Anolis sagrei: one gene and its partner. The protein of the gene in region 1 interacts with the protein of each later gene in a biochemical or structural test. Links are inferred from orthologs where the notes say so. Each region holds a gene or a part of one and is shown on either strand. Other genes may lie near its edges.

Region 1 (9,712 bases):
CTGTGTGAACAGGCAACATCAGAATGTGTTCAAAATGGCAAAATGTTATCCATAAGGAAGAATAGGTAAGCTGGGAGAGGCTGCTGTGGTTTGCTTTTGCCTGAACCTCCAGAGATGGGGAATATTCCCTTTCCTTCTCTTCTATTTATTTACTTATTGTGTCGGAAGTGAACCGAGGATACAGTTGTAAGGTATTTAAAAACACAAACAAAGTTTTCAAATTTGGCTTTTGCTAAATGCCATTTGACGAGTAGCTGGCCACTTGGAGTGCCCCTGGTGTTGCTATAAGAAGGTCCTCCATTGTGAATGTGGCAGGGATCAGGTTGCATTGTAGTAGGTGGTGTATGATTTTATCTTCTCTACACTCGCATGTCATGGACTCCACTTTGTGGCTCCATTTCTTAAGGTTAGCTCGGCATCTCATGGTGCCAGAGCACTGTCTGTTCAGTGTCTTCCAAGCTGTCCAGTCTTCTGTGTGCCCAGGAGGGAGTCTCTCATTTGATATCAGAGGTTCTGGGTTTTAGCCTGCCACTTTTGGACTCCCGCTTGCTGAGGTGTTCCTGCGAGTATCTCTGTAGATCTTATATTTGTAGATCTTATATCAAATGGCATTTAGTATTTCGGAAAAAACTCAAGACATGGATGTTTGAGCAAGCATTCGGCTAATCCGATGCGATGAAATCTCTGATCAAGGACTGGCAATCACAGACAACGAAATTGGATTATGATTTTAATTTAAGAGATGCATTGGTCTGTATTGGTGGCCCAATACTGTGTATTGTATATGTATGTGTTTTATATTTTTAATTGGAATATTGTTGTTTTTAAATGTTGTAAACCGCAATGAGTCGCCGTCTTAGGCTGAGATATTAGCGGTATACAAGTGTACTAAATAAATAAATAAATAAATATTTCTTGATTTAAAGCACTGGCGGGCTGGCTGATATTCGAACAGGGGTTGGGCCGGAGATGTCACTGCCTTGGTCCTTTCATTGTTGGCTGCTACTTCCTGGCATCCTGTGATAATGTGGCAAGTCTCATTAAGAGTAACATCCACTGTTTTAACATGGTGAGATGTGTTCCACACTGGGCATGTGTATTCAGCAGCAGAGTAGCAAAGCTCAAGGGCAGATGTCTTCACTGTGGACCATGAGGACAAAAATCTGGTCTGTGAGCCTCCTTTCTCTTTATTTTATTTTATTTTATTTTATTTTATTTTATTTTATTTCTACTCCTTTTGCATTGGCTGCCACTCCTTCCCTTTTACTGACCACTGCATATGTTCTGTATCAGAAACTAGAACTGATGTGGTCTATCCAATGCCATTTTCCAAATCAGCACCCAAAACTGAATCTAAAGTTGATCAAAAACTGATTCATAACCCTTTTGGTATTGATGTTGAAGAGTGGTCCCTAGTCAAAGTAGTCCCTGGTTTAAAAAAAAGGTTTGGGAACCACTGATCTAAGGCCAGAAATTAGACAAGTTATACCTGGGAAGTGTAGTTCACAGATTTTTTCCAAGGTCTGCTCTCATCCCTAGCAATAAAAATAGAAAAAGTAAACAATCTGCTTCTTTTTCATGAAAGTGATACACAAAATCGGCTATGGAAAGCAGATTGTCCATTCTGGATGTGTCTGGATTGTAGAATGAATACAGGTTGACATCACTTTAACTGCCGTGGCTCAATCATGGGAATTTGGCAGAGAAAACAAGAGACATTGTAAAACTACATTTCCCATGATTCAATTGAATTAAACTATGGCTGTTAAAGTAGAGTTGAACCGCATTAATTCTATAGTGTATATACTATAATGTTGAATAAAAGGGTCAGGCCTGCTAGAATTAGCACTTTTTGCTGGCTTTTCAGTTGACCTTTAAGAGCAGTTCTTTCAACAGTGATGTGATTTGGAAGAATTGGCAAATAAGCTTCTCATTATGCAGAGATAAACGTTATAACTCACCATCTACTCACTAGAACCCGAAATTCAGCAATTTAATCCATAGATCTTCCACTAGTTCAATAAAGTGGATGAATGTTTCTCCACCAACACAATGAAATTCGAAATTCAGTTTTGTTTCAGATCTGTAACCTCCAGGAGAGTACATTGTGATCTTTTGCACATGTTATAACCATCTTTGCCATTGGCCCTAATTGGCATTCTCGCTGGAGTCTTCTGCAGGAAAGAAAAAAAAGCTGAGGATTCTGGGAATGCCTTGAAAGGGAATGTCCCGTCATGATCCCTTTGATGTTCTTTCCATATGAAAATCAATCAGCATGAAGCCATAAGCAAAGCAGATGGCAAGGCTTCAGAATCAAGGCTTCCATCCTAAAATGCATTTGTGCCAGTCATGGGGTTACAGCCCCGGTAACATGATAAATAAGTGTTTGGAGGAGGAAAGAGATGCTTTACTGCAAACTCTATGAACAAAATTATGAATGTTGGCATCCGGTGTGGGTATTCTAACCTTAAACATTATAGCATTGATTCTGCCCTTTACATTTCTGGGGGAGAAAGGACTAAAAATGCGGCTTCAGTATCTGCACTATTTTTGTCATCTAATTACTGCATTTTATTTAAGATTAATGCGATACATATTTCATTTTTAGGTGTACTAGCAGATCATGTTCCCGAAGAAACATATATGGGCTAAAAGTATTTGCCTGCATTACATATACCATGGAAATGAGTAAGATTGCATAAAAACTGTATCAAAATCAAAGGAATATTTAATAATAATAAAACTTTATTTATATACCACTCTATCTCCCCTGGGGGACTTAGGGCAGTTTCCAAATTGTAAAAACACAAATCCATACAGAGTAAGCAAAAAACAAACAAACAAAAACAGACCAACACATACGCATAAAACAGTCAAACAACACATGTACAATAAAACCAATCAACCTTATTCTTCATACTAGGATTAACTATTAGGGCCAAGCAATCTTTTTGTGGACTGAAACCAAACTAGAAATGGATGTATCTGGAATTTTTCCACTCAGTCCTCAAGAGAGTGATCTCTGGAACAAGTCCAATTTGGGATAGTTTGATATTCTTATTTGGCATGTAGAATAATAGAATTATAGAATCATAGAGTTGGAAGAGACCTTGTGTGCCATCTAGTCCAACCCCCTGCCAAGGAGCAGGAAAATTGCATTCAAAGCACCCCGACAGATGGCCATCCAACCTCTCAGCTCAGGTCCTCCCTCTTTAAAGATTTCAGAAGGGATCCCATCAGGTCTGCTGGCTTTGTTATTTTTTGTTGGTTGATGACATTGCTGACTTCTTCCAAACTAGGCAGTGCTGCAAACTCATCCCTGATTTGTGGGAGAACCTCTTTGGCCACATTCGAGCTGCGGTTCTGGAGGCTTTGGTAGTGTTCTTTCCAACGTAGTGCAATTGATTTTTGGTCCTTCAGGAGTTTGGTTCCATCTGATGAGCGTAGAGGCTGTATGCCATGGTTTCTTGGTCCATAGATGACCTTTGTGGCTGTGAAAAATCCCTGAGCATCACGGGTATCTGCCAGGTGTTGGATTTCTTCAGCCTTCTTTGTCCATGAGATGTTCTTAAGTTCTCTTGTCCTTCTTTGGATCTTAGTTTTTGCACTGGTGTAGATCTTTTTCTTATGGGTCTCCATGGCTTTGACTAGGCGGATCTTTGTTGCCAGTGTGATGTCTCTACTCTTTACTATTTTATTGAGGTTGGACCTTGCTCTCCTCCCAAGAAGTAAGGGTCTTCTGATTTCCTGGCCACAGTAATCTTTGCACCTAGAAATACAAAGTCTGTCACAGCCTCCACATTTTCTCCCTCTATTTTCCAGTTGTCAATCATTCTTGTTGCCATAATCTTGTTTTTTTTTTTTTAATGTTTAGCTGCAACCCAGCTTTTGTGCTGGGCTACACTGACCATGCAGACTGTGGCCAGGAAATCAGAAGACGCTTACTTCTTGGGAGGAGAGCAATGTCCAGTCTCGATAAAATAGTAAAGAGTAGAGACATCAGACTGGCAACAAAGATCCGCCTAGTCAAAGCCATGGTATTCCCTGTAGTCACCTACGGATGTGAGAGCTGGACCTTAGGGAAGGCTGAGCGAAGGAAGATAGGATGCTTTTGAACTGTGGTGCTGAAGGAAAGTTCTGAGAGTGCCTTGGACTGCGAGAAGATCCAACCAGTCCATCCTCCAGGAAATAAAGCCCGACTGCTCATTGGAGGGAAGGATACTAGGGACAAAGTTGAAGTACTTTGGCCACATCATGAGTGTCATGCGTTAGCATGAGTAGCATGCAGATTGACTCTAGCCCAGTTAACTGTGTGTGTGATGAATTGGCTCTTAAAAGAAAAACACATGAGTAGAAAAGAAAAATATTGTAGTATTGGCAGCATACAAAACAAAATAGCAGGATTGCTGTTTCCACAAAAGTAACATGAAACAATATCTTCTGAGAGATATCATTACTCAGCTGTGATAAGCAGGAATCCTTGTCCTCTTCCCATGGCTGTGTCTTCGCAGGACATCTGCAGCATAGTCCCTGGCTTACACAAGGCAGAATGGCACAGAGGCATAGATGCACAATGGCAAAGAAGCTAAACACACAGTAGCTATCTTTATACACATGAAAATAATACTCTCAATTAACTCTTCAATTAACTCAAACAGCTGTAGCACAAACAGCCTTGAACTTTACAGCAACTTAAAGTTATAGCACAAACAACATTGATCCTTACAACAACTTAGATAAAGTACGTTACAACCTCTTAGTAGCAACAATGAGGAGACAGCAAAGCCTAGAGAAGACAATTATGCTGGGGAAAGTGGAAGGCAAAAGGAAGAGGGGCCGACCAAGGGCAAGATGGATGGATGGCATCCTTGAAGTGACTGGACTGACCTTGAAGGAGCTGGGGGTGGTGACGGCCGACAGGGAGCTCTGGCGTGGACTGGTCCGTGAGGTCACGAAGAGTCGGAGATGACTGAACGAATGAACAACAACAAGTGAGACTCTACTGTATCATCTGCATATCTAAGGTTGCTAATGTTTCGTCCAGCAATGTTAACTCCAGCCTTGGATTCATCAAGTCCCGCACGTCGCATGATGTCTTCTGCATACAAGCAGAATAGGTTGGGTGAGGGCAGGGCCGTAGCCAGAAAAAAATTTCGGGGAGGGTTGACAATTTCGGGGGAGGGGGGGTTGAAAATTTCGGGGAGGGTTGAAAATTTTGGCAGGGGGGAGGGGTGAAACCTGCCTCCTAGCTCACGCTGAAGCAAAGAGTACAGCAGGGGGCAGAGCAACCTTCAATAGCCTGCAGCTCCACCCCTGTCAACCAACTCCACCAAATCTGGCCTTCTTAATGAGAGCATTCAACACATAAACCCCCAACTTGGTTGCTTCACTACATCAGGTATTGCTGCAAGTAATGACAGTGTGAGTAAATTGTCAATATTTGCTTGAGATAGTGCTTACAATTCTGGAGGGACTCTTAATTTTTTGCATCTCATAGACTTAGCATGGGGATTTGGTTAACCAATTAAAATTCATGAGTAAATCAGGTTTTTTAAAAAAATCTGAAACATTTCGGGGGGGGATTGAACCCCTAAAACCACCCCCTCGCTACAGGCCTGGGTGAGGGTACCCTGCCTTGCTGTACTGGGCTACACTGACCATATAGTCCACTTTCAAATTGCATGATATGCCAGTGTTGATACTCCCAGGTTCCTATTGACAGGACAACTTTTCCCCTCCTAGAACCAGTGCAGCTGAACCCAAGGGATGGACAGCAACAGAGAAGCACTTTCTGGCCAGGAAGGAAGCCTTGTGAACTACACCTCCCAGCGTGCCTTGCGAGCGCCTTTTCCTGTGAAGGAGGAGGGGGAGGAAGAGAAGGAGGAGGAAAGGAAGGAAAAAAAAAAGCCCAAGGCGAGGAGGGAGTGTGGGTGGGGAAAGCGACGCCTCTGTTCTCCTTCCTTCCTTCCTTCTTCCTCTCTCTCTCTCCTTCTCTTGAGGCTCAGGCGGCATCTCCCCCCTCGCCATAACCGAGAAGGCAGCGAGAGAGCGGGGTCTGGGGTCTGGGCGCCTGTCTCTGGAAGGGAGAAGGGAGCGATGCGGAGGGGAGGAAAATGGCAGAGCTGCAGATGTTACTAGAGGAGGAAATCCCTTCTGGGAAGCGGGCTTTGCTCGAGAGCTACCAGAACCTCACCAGGGTCGCCGACTACTGCGAAAACAACTACATCCAGGTAAGAAGGGAGAGCCAAGGAGGGAGGGAGGGAGGCAGGCTCGCCTTGGAAGGGGCCAAGACCCACGCCTGCCTTCATTTCCTTCCTTCCTTCTTGCTCGCCTCCATGGCAGGAGGAGGAAGAAGGGGGGAAGGAGCCACTCGCCTTACAGGAAGTGGGCAAGGGCTCTTGCAAAGGGAGGAAGGCCAGCCAGGCCTTCCTCCCTTTGCAAGAGCCCTTGCCCACTTCCAATGGGTGCATTGTGACCCCACTTTGAGTTGTCAGGATTCAATGCTAGGAGTTGTAGTGGACAGACTTTTATGGAACTACCACTCTCAGGTTTCCATAGCCTTGAGCCTCAACAACCACAGTGGTGTCAAACTGTGTTTGCTGGACAGTGTTTTTGTTTGTTTGGTTGCATGAGGAAGAATTTGCAGACTGTGAGATCCGTTCAGCAGTGGAACTCTCTGCCCCGGAGTGTGGTGGAGGCTCCTTCTTTGGAAGCTTTTAAGCAGAGGCTGGATGGCCATCTGTCAGAGGTGATTTGAATGCAATATTCCTGCTTCTTGGCAGAATGGAGTTGGACTGGATGGCCCATGAGGTCTCTTCCAACTCTTTGATTCTATGATTCTATGCTGCAAGTCGCTTCTGGTGTTAGACAATCAGCCGTCTACAAAGACGTCACCCAAGGGATGCGTTTTTTAAATACATTACAGTTGTATCCTCAGTTTGCTTCTGATACGATAAATAAATGGACAGTGTAAATCAGGCATGGGCACACTTCAGCCCTCCAGGTGTCTTGGACTTCAGTTCCCAGGAATCCTAGTGTTGGACTGCAATGCCCACCGGCTGTTAGGAATTGTGGGAGTTGAAGTTCAAAACACCTGGAGGGCCAAAGTTTGCCCATAGAATCATAGAATCAAAGAGTTGGAAGAGACCTCATGGGCCATCCAGTCCAACCCCATTCTGCCAAGAAGCAGGAATATTGCGTTCAAATCACCCCTGACAGATGGCCCTCCAGCCTCTGTTTAAAAGCTTCCAAAGAAGGAGCCTCCACCACACTCCGGGGCAGAGAGTTCCACTGCTGAATGGCTCTCACAGTCAGAAAGTTCTTCCTCGTGTTCAGATGGAATCTCCTCTCTTGTAATTTGAAGCCATTGTTCCGTGTCCTAGTCTCCAAGGAAGCAGAAAACAAGCTTGCTCCGTCCTCCCTGTGGCTTCCTCTCACATATTTATACATGTCTATCATATCTCCTCTCAGCCTTCTCTTCTTCAGGTTAAACATGCTTGTTCTCCAGACTCTTGATCATTTTAGTCGCTCTCCTCTGGACACATTCCAGCTTGTCAATATCTCTCTTGAATTGTCGTGCCCAGAATTGGACACAATATTCCATGCCTGGTATAGATGCACCCTAAGGTGGACCAGACCAGGGGTGCAGCCTACATGGTAGAAGTACTGGGGTTCCACACCACTTGAACTGCTATGGCTCAACGCTATGGAATTGTGTGTGTTGTCATCTGGTGAGGCTATAGAATTCTTTGGCAGGGAAGACTAAGGACCTTGTAAATCTACAATTCATAGAATTCAATAGCACTGAGCCATGGCAGTTTTATTATGCTTTTAAAGTAATTACGTTGTTTTAATTTACTTACTTTTGGTTAGTAATAATAATGATAATGATAATCTTTATTTATCCCAACACCATCTCCCAAAACGGAACGAGGGCAGTTTACAAGGCACTTTTTTTTGTCGTGTCAGGAGTGACTTGAGAAACAAGGCACTACAAATGTAGTATATTATATAAAAGGTACATGGGTATAAAAACAATATAGCACAACAATTATAATAACAACCACTATTAACACATAAAATAAAATATAACACAGTTTAAAATGCAGAACATTTGTAGTTAAAACTAGCAGCCTTCAAATCACAATTACAGTGCCAAAGTGTCAACCTCATATGGGCCCATTTCAGCCTACTCAAGGCCAAAAGCCTGCTTAAAAATCAATGTTTTTAGGCTGGATCGGAAAGAGTCAAGGGTGGGGGCTAACCTAATATCTTTTGAGAGGGTATTCCAGAGCCAGGGAGCCACTACTGAGAAGGTCCTCTCTCTCATCCCCACCAACCATGCTTGAGACGGAGTCCCCGGTGGCGCAGTGGGTTAAACCCCTGTGCCGGAAGGACTGAAGACCTGCAGGTCACAGGTTCGAATCTGGAGAGAGGCGGATGAGCTCCCTCTATCAGCTCCAGCTCCTCATGCGGGGACATGAGAGAAGCCTCCCACAAGGATGACAAAAACATCAAATCATCCAGGCATCCCCTGGGCAACGTCCTTGCAGACGGCCAATTCTCTCACACCAGAAGCAACTTGCAGTTTCTCAAGTCGCTCCTGACATGACAAAGAAAATGCTTGAGACAGTAGTGGAACCGAGAAAAGGGCCTCCCTTGCTGATCTCAAAGCCCACGCTGGTTCACAGAAAGAGATGAAGGACCCAAAGCATATGTGGCTTTGTAGGTAATAACTTGCATCTTGAAATGAGCCCAGAAAATTGTCGGAATCCAGAGGAGCTGCTTGGGTATGTTCCCTATAGCTAGCTCCAATTAGTAAGCTTATAAGTTTATATTGATGTTGTTTCATTCATTGGTTCAATTTGGTTTTGTTTTCATTATGGCATTGAATGCTTGCCATTTTTTTGTTTGGAAACCGCCCTGAGTCCCCTCGGGGAGATAGGGCGGGTTATAAATAAAGTTTTATTATTACTATTATGGCAGTCCAAGTGGTGTCAAACTATAATAAGTCGACAGCAGTGGTTCTCAACCTGTGGGTCTCCAGGTGTTTTGGTCTACAACTCCCAGAAATCCCAGCCAGTTTTCCAGCTGTTAGGATTTCTGGGAATTGAAGGCCAAAACATCTGGGGAACCACAGGTTGAGAACCACTGCTCTACAGGTTGAGAACCATTGGTCTAAAGTGTAGATCAGGCCCGGGCAAACCTGGAGGGCCCAAGTTTGCCCATGCCTGATGCAGATGTACACTTGGAAGAGTGCTGAAGATGGTTGGGGTTTTTTTGGGGGGGGGGGGGGAGAAGAAGCCAAATTTGGTTCAAAGAGGTAAGAGAGGAGGGCAAACCAGGGAGAGAGAATAAGGGGGTAGGAAAGAGAAATAAAGATGAAGAAAAAGAGAGGGGGTAAGCAGCACAATGTCTCAGAAGGTGCATCTACACCAGGCATGGGTAAATTTTGACCCTCCAGGTGTTTTGGACTTTAACTCACAATTCCTAACAGCCGGTAAGATGGCTGGGAGTTTTGGGAGTTGAAGTCCAAAACACCGGGAGGGCCGAAGTTTGCTCATGCCTGTCCATTTATTTACCGTATCAGAAGCAAACCGAGAGTACAGTTGTAATGTATTTAAAAAACACAAAGTTTTAAAACTTGGCATTATCAAATGCCACTTGGAGTGCCTCTGGTGTTGCTATAAGAAGCATGTGGCAGGGCTCAGAC
Region 2 (10,470 bases), on another chromosome or scaffold:
GCCTGTTTGTGGGGGCCAGAAACTGTTTGTGTAAGTGGACACCTCTGCCACATACACACATATACATTTTTCATCCATATACTTTTCAAAAACTTTTATTATGTGTTTATATAGAATAGATATAGATAGTAGAGACATTTTTCTCTGCAAGAGTTCTTGGATTTATGTGGATCACTATTGGCATTTTATCTACCACTCCACTTTACTTTAATTGGATGATTATAGATTGATATAGATATTATGATCTATGTCATGAATTGCTGTGGGTGGAAAAAATCACCTACCTCACTTAGGATTACCTTGCCGTACACTAGCTTTGCTTTTAAAAGAAGTCTTAACATTTTGTATTTCGTAAGCTGGTAGAACGCTTTTGAAATCAAGGGAGCTTTGTTGACTTACATCAAGAATGGTCCTGACCTCTTTGAACACTGAGTACTTGGCATAAAAGAGTGTTTCTATACAAAGAAAAGAATTTCCTTCCTTGGAGCAGTTCTCCCTTGAGTGGAACATTAGATCTCATGCTTGCTGTTATGAAGCCTTTAAAATGGTTTCATATCATATCTATCGATGGCTATATGTATGAACTTGGAAGAAACAATTCAGCAAAAAATAAAGTGCAGTAGCAATACAAAAGTCGTCAGCAAATCTCTTTGAAGCCCAGCCACAATCGCTTCTTGCTTCTTGGGAAAAGAAAAGGGCCTGAAGCTGTTAGGAATTGTGGGAGTTGAAATCCAAAACATCTGGAGGGCCAAAGTTTGCCCATGCCTGCTCTATGCCAATCTTCAAACAAGATTCACACTTTTCCAGTCCACATTCTGCCTACATTTATATAGCTGTCCTCATGTGCACCTTCTTGGGAGCTCTTTGTTGAATCCTATTTCAAACAGGACAATGAGTTTGGGCAGTAAGATAATATAGACAAGTATGAAGTATGGCTCCATTAAGTTCAAGAGGTCATACTTTCATGTGAGTGTGTGCAAAGATGCATCTAAACCAGTGGTTCTCAACCTTCCTAATGCCGTGACCCCTTAATACAGTCCCTCATGTTGTGGTGACCCCCAAACATAACATTGTATTTGTTGCTACTTCATAACATTCATTTTACTACTGTTATAAATCATAATGTAAATATCAGATATGCAAGATGTATTTTCATTCATTGGACCAAACTGGGCACAAATACCCAGTGCACCCACATGTAAATGCTAGTGGGGTTGGGGGAGGATTTATTTTGTAATTTGGGAGTTGTAGTTGCTGGGATTTATAGTTCACCTACAATCAAAGAGCATTCTGAACTCCACCAGCGATGGATTTGAACCTAATTTGCCACACAGAACTCCTATGACCAACAGAAAACACTGGAAGGGTTTGGTGGGTATTGACCTTGAGTTTGGGAGTTGTAGTTCACCTATATCCAGAGAGCACTGTGGACTCACGCAATGGTGGATCTGGACTAAACTTGGCACATATACTCAATATGCACAAATTTGTGAACACTGGTGGAGCCTGGGGAAAATATACCTTGACTTTTGGGAGTTGTAGTTGCTGGGATTTATAGTTCATTACAATCAAAGAACATTCTGAACTCCACCAATGATAGAATTGGCTCAAACTTCCCACATGGAATCCCAATGACCATCAGAAAATAGTGTTTTCTGATGGTCTTTGGCGACCCCTCTGACACCCCTTCGCGACCCCCTTAGGGGTCCCGACCCCCAGGTTGAGAAACACTGATCTAAACTGTACTATTAATGCAGTTTGGAAAATGGAAATCTCCAGAACCTTTTGGAGATTTAATGTCCTTAGGGATGACCTTAGAAGTCACAACTTTTTGAAAATTGATGCCATAACATCTTGATAAAAACATGCCCTGTTACTCATAAACAGAGGAATTCCAGATAAGAAACAATCAGGGACTGCTAATCATCTCTCAACAAAGGATTCCCCCAGGCAATAAGCAGCCAGACCTTGAAACTGCTAGGTCATTAAATGCTAATCAAGGTGGCCAATTGAAACATTCACACCTACCTCCAACAGACAAGAGTTTTTTCTCCCACCCTCGAGTGGCTCTGGGCCCAGACAAATGCACCTATTTTACCTGTCTGACCTCCTCCTCTGCCTCTCAGATCTCGCTCCTGTAGACTGCAGTGAACCGGTGCAAGTGCACATGTGCAAGATCTGAGAGGCAAAGAAGGAGGTACAGTAATAGGAAAATTACCATATTGAAATCAAATCTGATGCTTTTACATTTTTATTTGGTGTGCGTTGGAAGAGGGGTAGTCTTATATGGCGAATATATCCCAAACTCTATATTTTAACTGGAAAAGTTGGGGGTCGTCTTATTTATTTATTTATTTATTTATTAGATGCACTTATTGACCGCCATTCTCAGCCCTTACGGGCGACTCATGGCGGTGTACAGTACACATAAAAAGACAGTTACAGAGGCCAGTATCAACAACATATGACTATACAACAAATACAAACTACATAAAAATCCGCTTCGTCTCTTAGTAGAATCATAGCCAGTCTCATTTTCCTTGTACCATTCCAGTTCTCATTACCGTAATGTTGTTGCTTAGCACTTAATTAAATGCCCTCTCGAACAGCCAGGTCTTAAGGCTTTTTCGAAAGGACATGAGGGAGGGCGCCTGTCTAATGTGTGCCGGGAGAGTGTTCCACAGCCGGGGGGCCACCACCGAGAAGGCCCTCTCCCTCGTCCCCGCCAGCCGTGCCTGTGATGCAGGCGGGATCGAGAGAAGGGCCTCCCCAGACGATCTCAAGGTCCTCGTGGGCTCGTAGGCCAAGATGCGGTCAGAAAGGTATTTTGGGCCGGAACTGTTTAGGGCTTTGTAGGCCAAGACCAGCACCTTGAATTGGGTCCGGTAGCAAATCGGCAGCCAGTGGAGCTGGGACAACAAGGGCGTTGTGTGCTCCCTGCTACCCGCTCCAGTTAGTAACATGGCTGCCGCACGCTGGACCAGCTGAAGCTTCCGGGCCGTCTTCAAGGGCAGCCCCACGTAGAGAGCGTTGCAGTAATCCAGGCGGGATGTGACAAGAGCGTGTACCACCGTGGCCAAGTCAGACTTCCCGAGATACACCCAGTCGTCTTATATGCCGCAATATATGGTAGTTTCTCTGTGTAGGTAACACCGGGCATCATTCTTATAAAGTCTATACCGCGCTCTGTTCCTGCTGACTTCTAAAACATACATCTATTTCTACTGAAGTCTCTAAGTATACATTTCCTGCACTGAAGTCTGAATCACACTTTTCTACTAAAGTCTAAACTGAACAGTGTCCTAAAAGAGAGTCTGAGCCCTGAACAAGCCCAGACCTGATCACGTGGTCTGCCGCCCCTCCCATAACAATGAGTTAAGGTCAAAGTGCATACCAATATGCACATATACAAGACAGTAATCAATCTGAATTATATACATAACAAATCACTAGGGGAGGCTTGAGAAAGTTGCTATTTCCAACAATAACTGCCATGGATCAATGCTATGGAATCATGAGAGCTGTAGTTTGGTGCAGCACTCTTTGCAACCTTGCAAAACTACAACTCCTATGATTCTGTAGTATTGAAGTGATATCAAACTGTATTAAGTATGCAGTGTAGAAGATGCACCCCAGGTACATATATATATAATAAGCCCTATAGGTGTTCCTGAGAGTTCCTGTTAAATGTTTTTCATTACTGAGCAAATGTGGCATGTTTATTCTAAACACGGGGATAGAAGTGTATTTTTCCCCACATAGTTTATCGTGTCATTCTCAACAAACTGTGATAGAGAAGTTAAGCCAAGCCTAGTGGAGTTGAAACAAGAATCCTATTTGCCATGATGTGGTGTTAACTGGATAGACGTAGGTGCGGAAAATATTCCTGCAACTAAATGCAAGGGGAGAATGCTAAGAATTCGTTCAGAAAGTGCTAACGCAGATCGAATTCCAAGGTGCAAGGCAAGCAGAAAAAACAATCGGAACAGCTAATAATAAGGAATTCAAGGCAACTCTGCTGTAGGGAGAACTGAATAGTAACAAGAAGCTTCAGCGGTAATATATGCAGTGCACGTGACCTTGGTAACCCTCACAGCCAGCAGCTCTTAAACTCAGCCTTGCATGCAGATAGCTACCCTGTATCGCATGTAATAACTGCCTGCGTGTGTGCAACCTATTTCCATAGTTATAAACTGGACACATGTTTTACTCAGAATTTTTTTTTTGGTCGTGTCAGGAGTGACTCCTGGTGTGAGAGAATAGGCCGTCTGCAAGGACATTGTCCAGGGGATGCCTTGATGATTTGATGTTGTTATCATCCTTGTGGGAGGCTTCTCTCATGTCCCCGCATGAGGAGCTGGAGCTAATAGAGGGAGCTCATCCGCCTCTCCCCGGATTCGAACCTGCGACCTGTTGGTCTTCAGTCCAGCCAGCACAGGGGTTTAACCCACTGCGCCACTAGGGGCTTACTCAGAATAAGAACTTCTGTATGGGTTTTAGTCTGCGCTGACAATTATACCTTTGCCTACATACAAAGGTATACAGTCTGTCTACACTGCAGAATGAATGCATATGGCTACCACTCTAAGTGCCATGGCTCAATGCTATGGAATCCTGGGAGTTGTAGTGTGGTGAAACACCAGTGCTCTATGGTTGAGAATGCTACAGACTTTGTAAAACTACATCTCCCAGGATTCAATAGCATGGAGCCATGGCAGTTAAAGTTATGTCATGCTGCATTCATCTACAATTAAAAAATCATAACAATAAATGAAGAACAATATTTTTAAAAAAACTATTTACTTTGTTTTTGACATTGTTTCTTAATGCCTTCTTATTTTGACGTTTGTACATATTTTGGTGCTGGTCATTGATTGTAAATGTGTGTGTGTGTGTGTGTGAAATGTCCAGGGTGGGAGAAAGCCTCTTGTCTGTTTGAGGTAGGTGTAAATGTAGCAATTGGCCACCTTGATTGGCATTTAATGGCCTAGCAATTTTCAAGGTCTGGAGCTTCTTACTGCCTGGGGGAATCCTTTGTTGAGAGGTGATTAGCTGCCCCTGATTGTTTCTTGTCTGGAGTTCCCATTTTTCAAAATGTTGTTCTTTATTTATTGTCATGCTACAACATAGATTCACCCAGGAGGGAAGCAGTTGCTATGCCTAGAGGCGCAAGGAGGTCCTCAATAATAATAATAATAATAATAATAATAATAATAATACACTTTATTTATATTCCCCTTTATCTCCCTGGACGGACTCAGAGCGGATTACAATACACATATGAAGCAAACATTCAATGCCTTTTACACACAGTGAACAACAGCATACAACACAGACAAAGGTAAAGGCCTTCCCCTTTTTTTCATATCCGGTGTCTAGAGGCGATGCTCAACTCCAGCCATGGGGAGGTGCTCTTGCTCCATTCTCCCATGCCAAGGAGCCTGTTGTCCATAGACATCTCCGATTGTGTTGCCAGCATGTCTGCATGGGGCGCCCTTTTACCTTCCTGCCAAGGTGGTAACTATTGATCTACTTGCATTTCATGCTTTAAAATTGTTAGGTTGGCAGAAGCTAGGGCTGGCAGTTGGGAGCTCACCCCAACTTGTGGCTTTGAAGTTTCAACCTTCTGGTTAGATTTCCTGCAGCTAGCAGTTTAACCTGCTTGTGCTACTGCAGGTAGCACAGCGGGTTAAATTGTACCAATCAATCAATTGTAATTTTACAAGGTTTTAGTCTTCTCCCGGGAAGAGTACCAAGGCCAAGATGGATGGATGGCATCCTTGAAGTGACTGGACTGACCTTGAAGGAGCTGGGGGTGGTGACGGCCAACAGGGAGCTCTGGCGTGGGCTGGTCCATGAGGTCACGGAAAGTCGGAGACGACTGAACGAATGAACAACAACAACAATAGACTAATACAAAATATTTTGAAAGATTATAGAAGTGTTTTTTAAAAATAAATATATTATACATATATGGCTGGAGTTACACTTAAAAATGTACCTGTTCCGACTTACACACAAATCCAACCCACAGAACCTATCTGGTTCGTAACTTGGGGACTGGCTGTAGTTTTGAAAGAATTTGGCCTCCTTTTCCAAAGAGTGCCGGTGTGCCTCCTCACACCGCAGCTGCGATGGACTCCACGGCAGATGGAGCAGTGCCAAGGCTGCGTGCACACTCCACGGTGCAGATGCGCTCAGTCAGGAGGGACGTGAGCAGCACGGTGTACCTACTGACCGACCCGCGGCTAGGTAAGTAGTGCGCAAAAAAAAAGGGAAGCGATACGGAGAGCGGCCGGCAGGGGGGGCGCGAGAGAGCGTGCTCATCGCGGTGGCAACGCCGGGCGGAGGAGCCTGCTTGCCTCCCGCGCGGATTGGGCGAGCCCACCTCTGGGCGCCCCCTCCCCCCCTTTTGAGATCCCGCATGGAATGCACGGAGAATGCAGAGCAGGTCCAATAGGCGCGGCTTGCCCCTGGCCCCGCCCCCTCGGCGCGCCTGCTCCGGAGGCCTGGCCCCTCCCTCGCCTTGCAGCCCCCTCCCCTCCCCCTGAGAAGCCGGTCTCTCCGCCGCCTGCCTTGCTCCCTTCCTTCCTTCCTTTCTTTCTCCTCTCCCCTTCCTCTCCCCTCCCCTCCCCGAAAGCCGGGGTTCTCCCGCGTAATCCTCGCGGCGCCTCGAGGGTCGCCTCTCTCTCCCCCTCCCTCCCTCCGCGCTCTTCTTTCCTTTCTTCCCTCCCTCCCTCCTTCCTTTCGGACTCCCCGCTGTGGCCGGCGGAGGGAGGGTTGCCAAGGCAGGGACTGGCTGGCGCCTGAGCAGAAAGAGAGAGAGAGAGAGAGAAAGGAAGGAGAGAGAGAGGGACCCTTGCCTCCGCTCCTTTTCCTCCTTTGGCCTCCCGCTCCCATTGAGAAGAGGAAGAGGAAGGAAGACAGGCAGGAGCTGGGCCTGGGGGGAAGGCGCCCCCCGCCCGGACCTTGGGCAGCAACATGAGGTAAGACAGAGGAAGGAGGAGGGGGAGGAGGAGGAGGAAGGGGCTCCTTGACTTGATCAATAGGAGGGAAGCCATTATGGAGGAGGAGAAGGGGGGGGGAGGGAGGCACCGTGTGTGTTTAATGGGGGGCTGGTCCTAACTGGGGAGAGGGAAGGGGTTCTTGTGGGAGAGGATTGGACTAGGAAACCCAAGGAAGTATTCAGTAGGGGGTTTGATAGGAATATGGGGGCCTCTGGTCTGGGAAACCCCAATAAGGTGTTCAATACGGGGTTTAATAGGAACATGGGGGCCTCTGGACTGGGGAAACCCAGAGATACACAATAGGGGGTTAATAGGAATAAGGACTCTGGAGTGGGAAAACCCAAAGAGGTATTCAATAGGGGGTTTGATAGGGATATGGGGGCCTCTGGTCTGGGAAACCCCAATAAGGTGTTCAATAGGGGGTTTAATAGGAACATGGGGCCTCTAGTGGGAAACCCCAATAAGGTGTTCAATAGGGGATATAATAGGAATATGGGGCCTCTGATCTGGGAAACCCCAATAAGGTGTTCAATAGGGGGTTTGAATAGGGATATGGGGGCTCTGGACTGGGAAAACCCAATGAGGTATTCAATAGGGGGGTTGATAGGGACATGGGGGCCTCTGGGCTGGGGAAACCTAGAAGTATACAATAGGGGGTTAATAGGAATTAGGGGGCCTCTGGATTGGGAAACTCCAATGAGATATTAAATAGAGGGTTTAATAGCAACATGGGGCCTTTGGACTGGGAAACCCAATAAGGTGTTCAAAAGAGGGTTTAATAGGGCTATGGGGGGCTCTGCACTGGGAAAACCCAGAGATATACAATAGGGGTTAATAGGAATAAGGGGGCCTCTGGATTGGGAAACTCCAATGAGGTAGTCAATAAGGGGTTTAATAGGGATATGGGGGTATCTGGACTAGGAAAACCCAATGAGGTATTCCATTGGGGGTTGACTAAGAATATGGACTGGGAAACTCCAATGAGATATTCAATAGGGACTTGAACAGGAATATGGGGCCTCTGGACTGGGAACCCCCAATGAGGTATTCAGTGAGGGGTTTAATAGGGAAGTGGGGGCTTCTGGACTGGGAAACGCCATTTCGGGGAGGGCTTAATGGGGGTCTGGGCTGTGTTTGGAAGCAAAGGGGTGCAAGGAGCAGAAAGGGGAGCCCTTTCGCGCAGTCCGGCCATTCAATTCATCCCCCATCGACTGAATTGCGTTGTATCCCCATTCCTGTTATTGTCGGGTCTTCCTCCTCCTCCTCCTCCTCCTCTTTCCCATTGTTCCTTTGCATGGAAAGTGGGGGAAGTTCTTGTGTGTGTTTTGCCGGTCGAGGCAGAGCAGGCGACGACTGCTGTGTTCGTGGGGGATCATCATGGCTCATCTCTCTGGCTTTTTTGCGGGGCTTTTGTTGCAAGCCAGGGCTGGAAGGAGGAGAGGGTTGGCTGGTTGGTGCGCAGGAGGGAGGGAGGGAGGGAGGAAGGAAGGAAGGAAGGAAAGAGGGAGAGCCATTCATTTATTAACGGGAGGGGGATTCGGCATGGATGCGTTTTGCTTTGGGCGGGGGGCGAGGAGGAGGAGGAGGGCCAGGCTGCTTCTTCCAGCGTCCTTTTAGGATTCGCTTTGGGAAACCAGACTCGGAATCACCTCGTAGAGTTGCCGAATTCAAGGTGGAGACGAGGAAAAAGCCGTGTGTTGCAATGCAGCAGTCCCTGCTGGGTTTTGTCTTTTGTGTAATCGATAAATAGGAGGAATTGGGGGGGGGGGGGGAGAGAGAGAGAGAGAGAGAGAGAAAGCGCTCACACAATGCTTTGGGAATCTCGAATATTTGTATTTAGGTTTTGTTTTGGTCTCCCTATCGAAGGAGGCATGCCTGTCCTCCTTCTCCCTGCATGAACCCTGGAGAAGAAAAGGGTTCATTTCCCCTGGAAACACTCGCGAAGGAGGGGGGGGGGAGAGGGAGGAGGCTCCTCTGTTTTGCATTCTGCAACTACTCCTCTGCTTTGATGCAACACTTAAAATTGAGGCTCAGGAGGTTGTTTTGCATTAGGATCCAGGGAAAGCTATTCCTTCTGCCAGAGTTAAACTAGACCTTCTCCCAGGCACTTCATTTGGATTTCCTTTGCAGCACTTGCAGTTGCAAAGTCCATGTAAGATTCATAGTGAGATGGTCTGCCATTCCTGTTTTGTTTTTTTTTTTGGAGAGAGAGACAAAAATCAAGCAGCCTGACTGCACCAAGAAAATAAGTGCATAGAATCATAGAGTTGGAAGAGACCTCATGGGCCATCCAGTCCAACCCCCTGCCAAGAAGCAGGAAAATTGCATTCAAAGCACCCCCAAAAGATGGCCACCCAGCCTCTGTTTAAAAGCTTCCAAAGAAGCAGCCTCCACCACACTCTGCAACAGAGAGTTCCACTGCTGAATGGCTCTCGCAGTCAGGAAGTTCTTCCTCATGTTCAGATGGAATCTCCTTTCTTGTAGTTTGAAGCCATTGTTCCGTGTCCTAGACTCCAGGGCAGCAGAAAACAAGCTTGCTCCCTCCTCGCTGTGACTTTCTCTCACATATTTTTACATGGCTGCCATGTCTCCTCAGCCTTCTCTTCTTCAGTCTAAACATGTCCAGCTCTTTAAGCCGCTCCTCATAGGGCTTGTTCTCCAGACCCTTGATCATTTTAGTCTCTTTTCTCTGGACACATTCCAGCCTGTCAACATCTCTATTAAACATGCTGTATTAAACTTTTTAAAGTGATTTTTTTAAAGTCTCAGGCTATGCGTTCTTAGAAGCTTTGAACACCTATGAAATGCTCCGCTACTTTATTTGCTCTTTAAATAAATGTATGGTTCTTTACATACACATCTCTTGTATGTGTGTAGGGCAGGCATTGGGAAACTTCAGCCCTCCAGGTATTTTGGACTTAATAATACAACTTTATTCCCTGCCATCATCTCCCAGAGGGACTCATGGCGCCCTACAAGTCACTCAAAGGTGCAGCACATAAAATTAAAAAAAATGCAGAAACAATAATATAAAACAGTAACAGCCAACATAAATATCTTCGTTCATAAAACCCCTTGGTTAAAATCAATAAAATACAGCAATAGCTGCGTATATAAAACAACAATAGTCTATCTTAGTCATATACAGTGCTTAGTAATATCTGTGGGTTCTCACATATTTATTAAAGGCATCTAACTCTGGTCGAAGGCTTGTTGAAACATCCATGTCCTAGGCTTTTAGGAATTGTGGGAGTTGAAGTCCAAAACACCTGGAGGACCGAAGTTTGCCCAGGGAGAAGTGGCAAATAGATTTCCCAAGTCCTTAGAAAACACAGAGTAGTGGAAAATGTACTTTCTAACTCAGATTGAACTGATGTTTCATGCTTTTGGTATCATCCAATCACTCTCTGTCTATACCTGGGATTACATTGTTGCCAGAACACATAGAAATATTCTTATGTTT

Evidence for each region. The genes of interacting proteins can lie anywhere in the genome.
Region 2: the proteins of ABI1 (region 1) and ENAH form a complex in vitro, tested with the Homo sapiens proteins (2 studies listed by BioGRID). The link is inferred for Anolis sagrei from reciprocal best matches to the Homo sapiens genes ABI1 and ENAH.

The regions. Positions count from the first base shown.
Region 1 is NC_090026.1:110,125,131-110,134,842, reverse strand, and holds the start of ABI1 (abl interactor 1), read left to right. Parts: upstream 1-5,877; 5' UTR 5,878-6,113; coding exon 6,114-6,230; intron 6,231-9,712. UniProt on the Homo sapiens protein: May act in negative regulation of cell growth and transformation by interacting with nonreceptor tyrosine kinases ABL1 and/or ABL2. May play a role in regulation of EGF-induced Erk pathway activation. Involved in cytoskeletal reorganization and EGFR signaling.
Region 2 is NC_090021.1:39,443,320-39,453,789, reverse strand, and holds the start of ENAH (protein enabled homolog), read left to right. Parts: upstream 1-6,534; 5' UTR 6,535-6,981; coding exon 6,982-6,986; intron 6,987-10,470. UniProt on the Homo sapiens protein: Ena/VASP proteins are actin-associated proteins involved in a range of processes dependent on cytoskeleton remodeling and cell polarity such as axon guidance and lamellipodial and filopodial dynamics in migrating cells.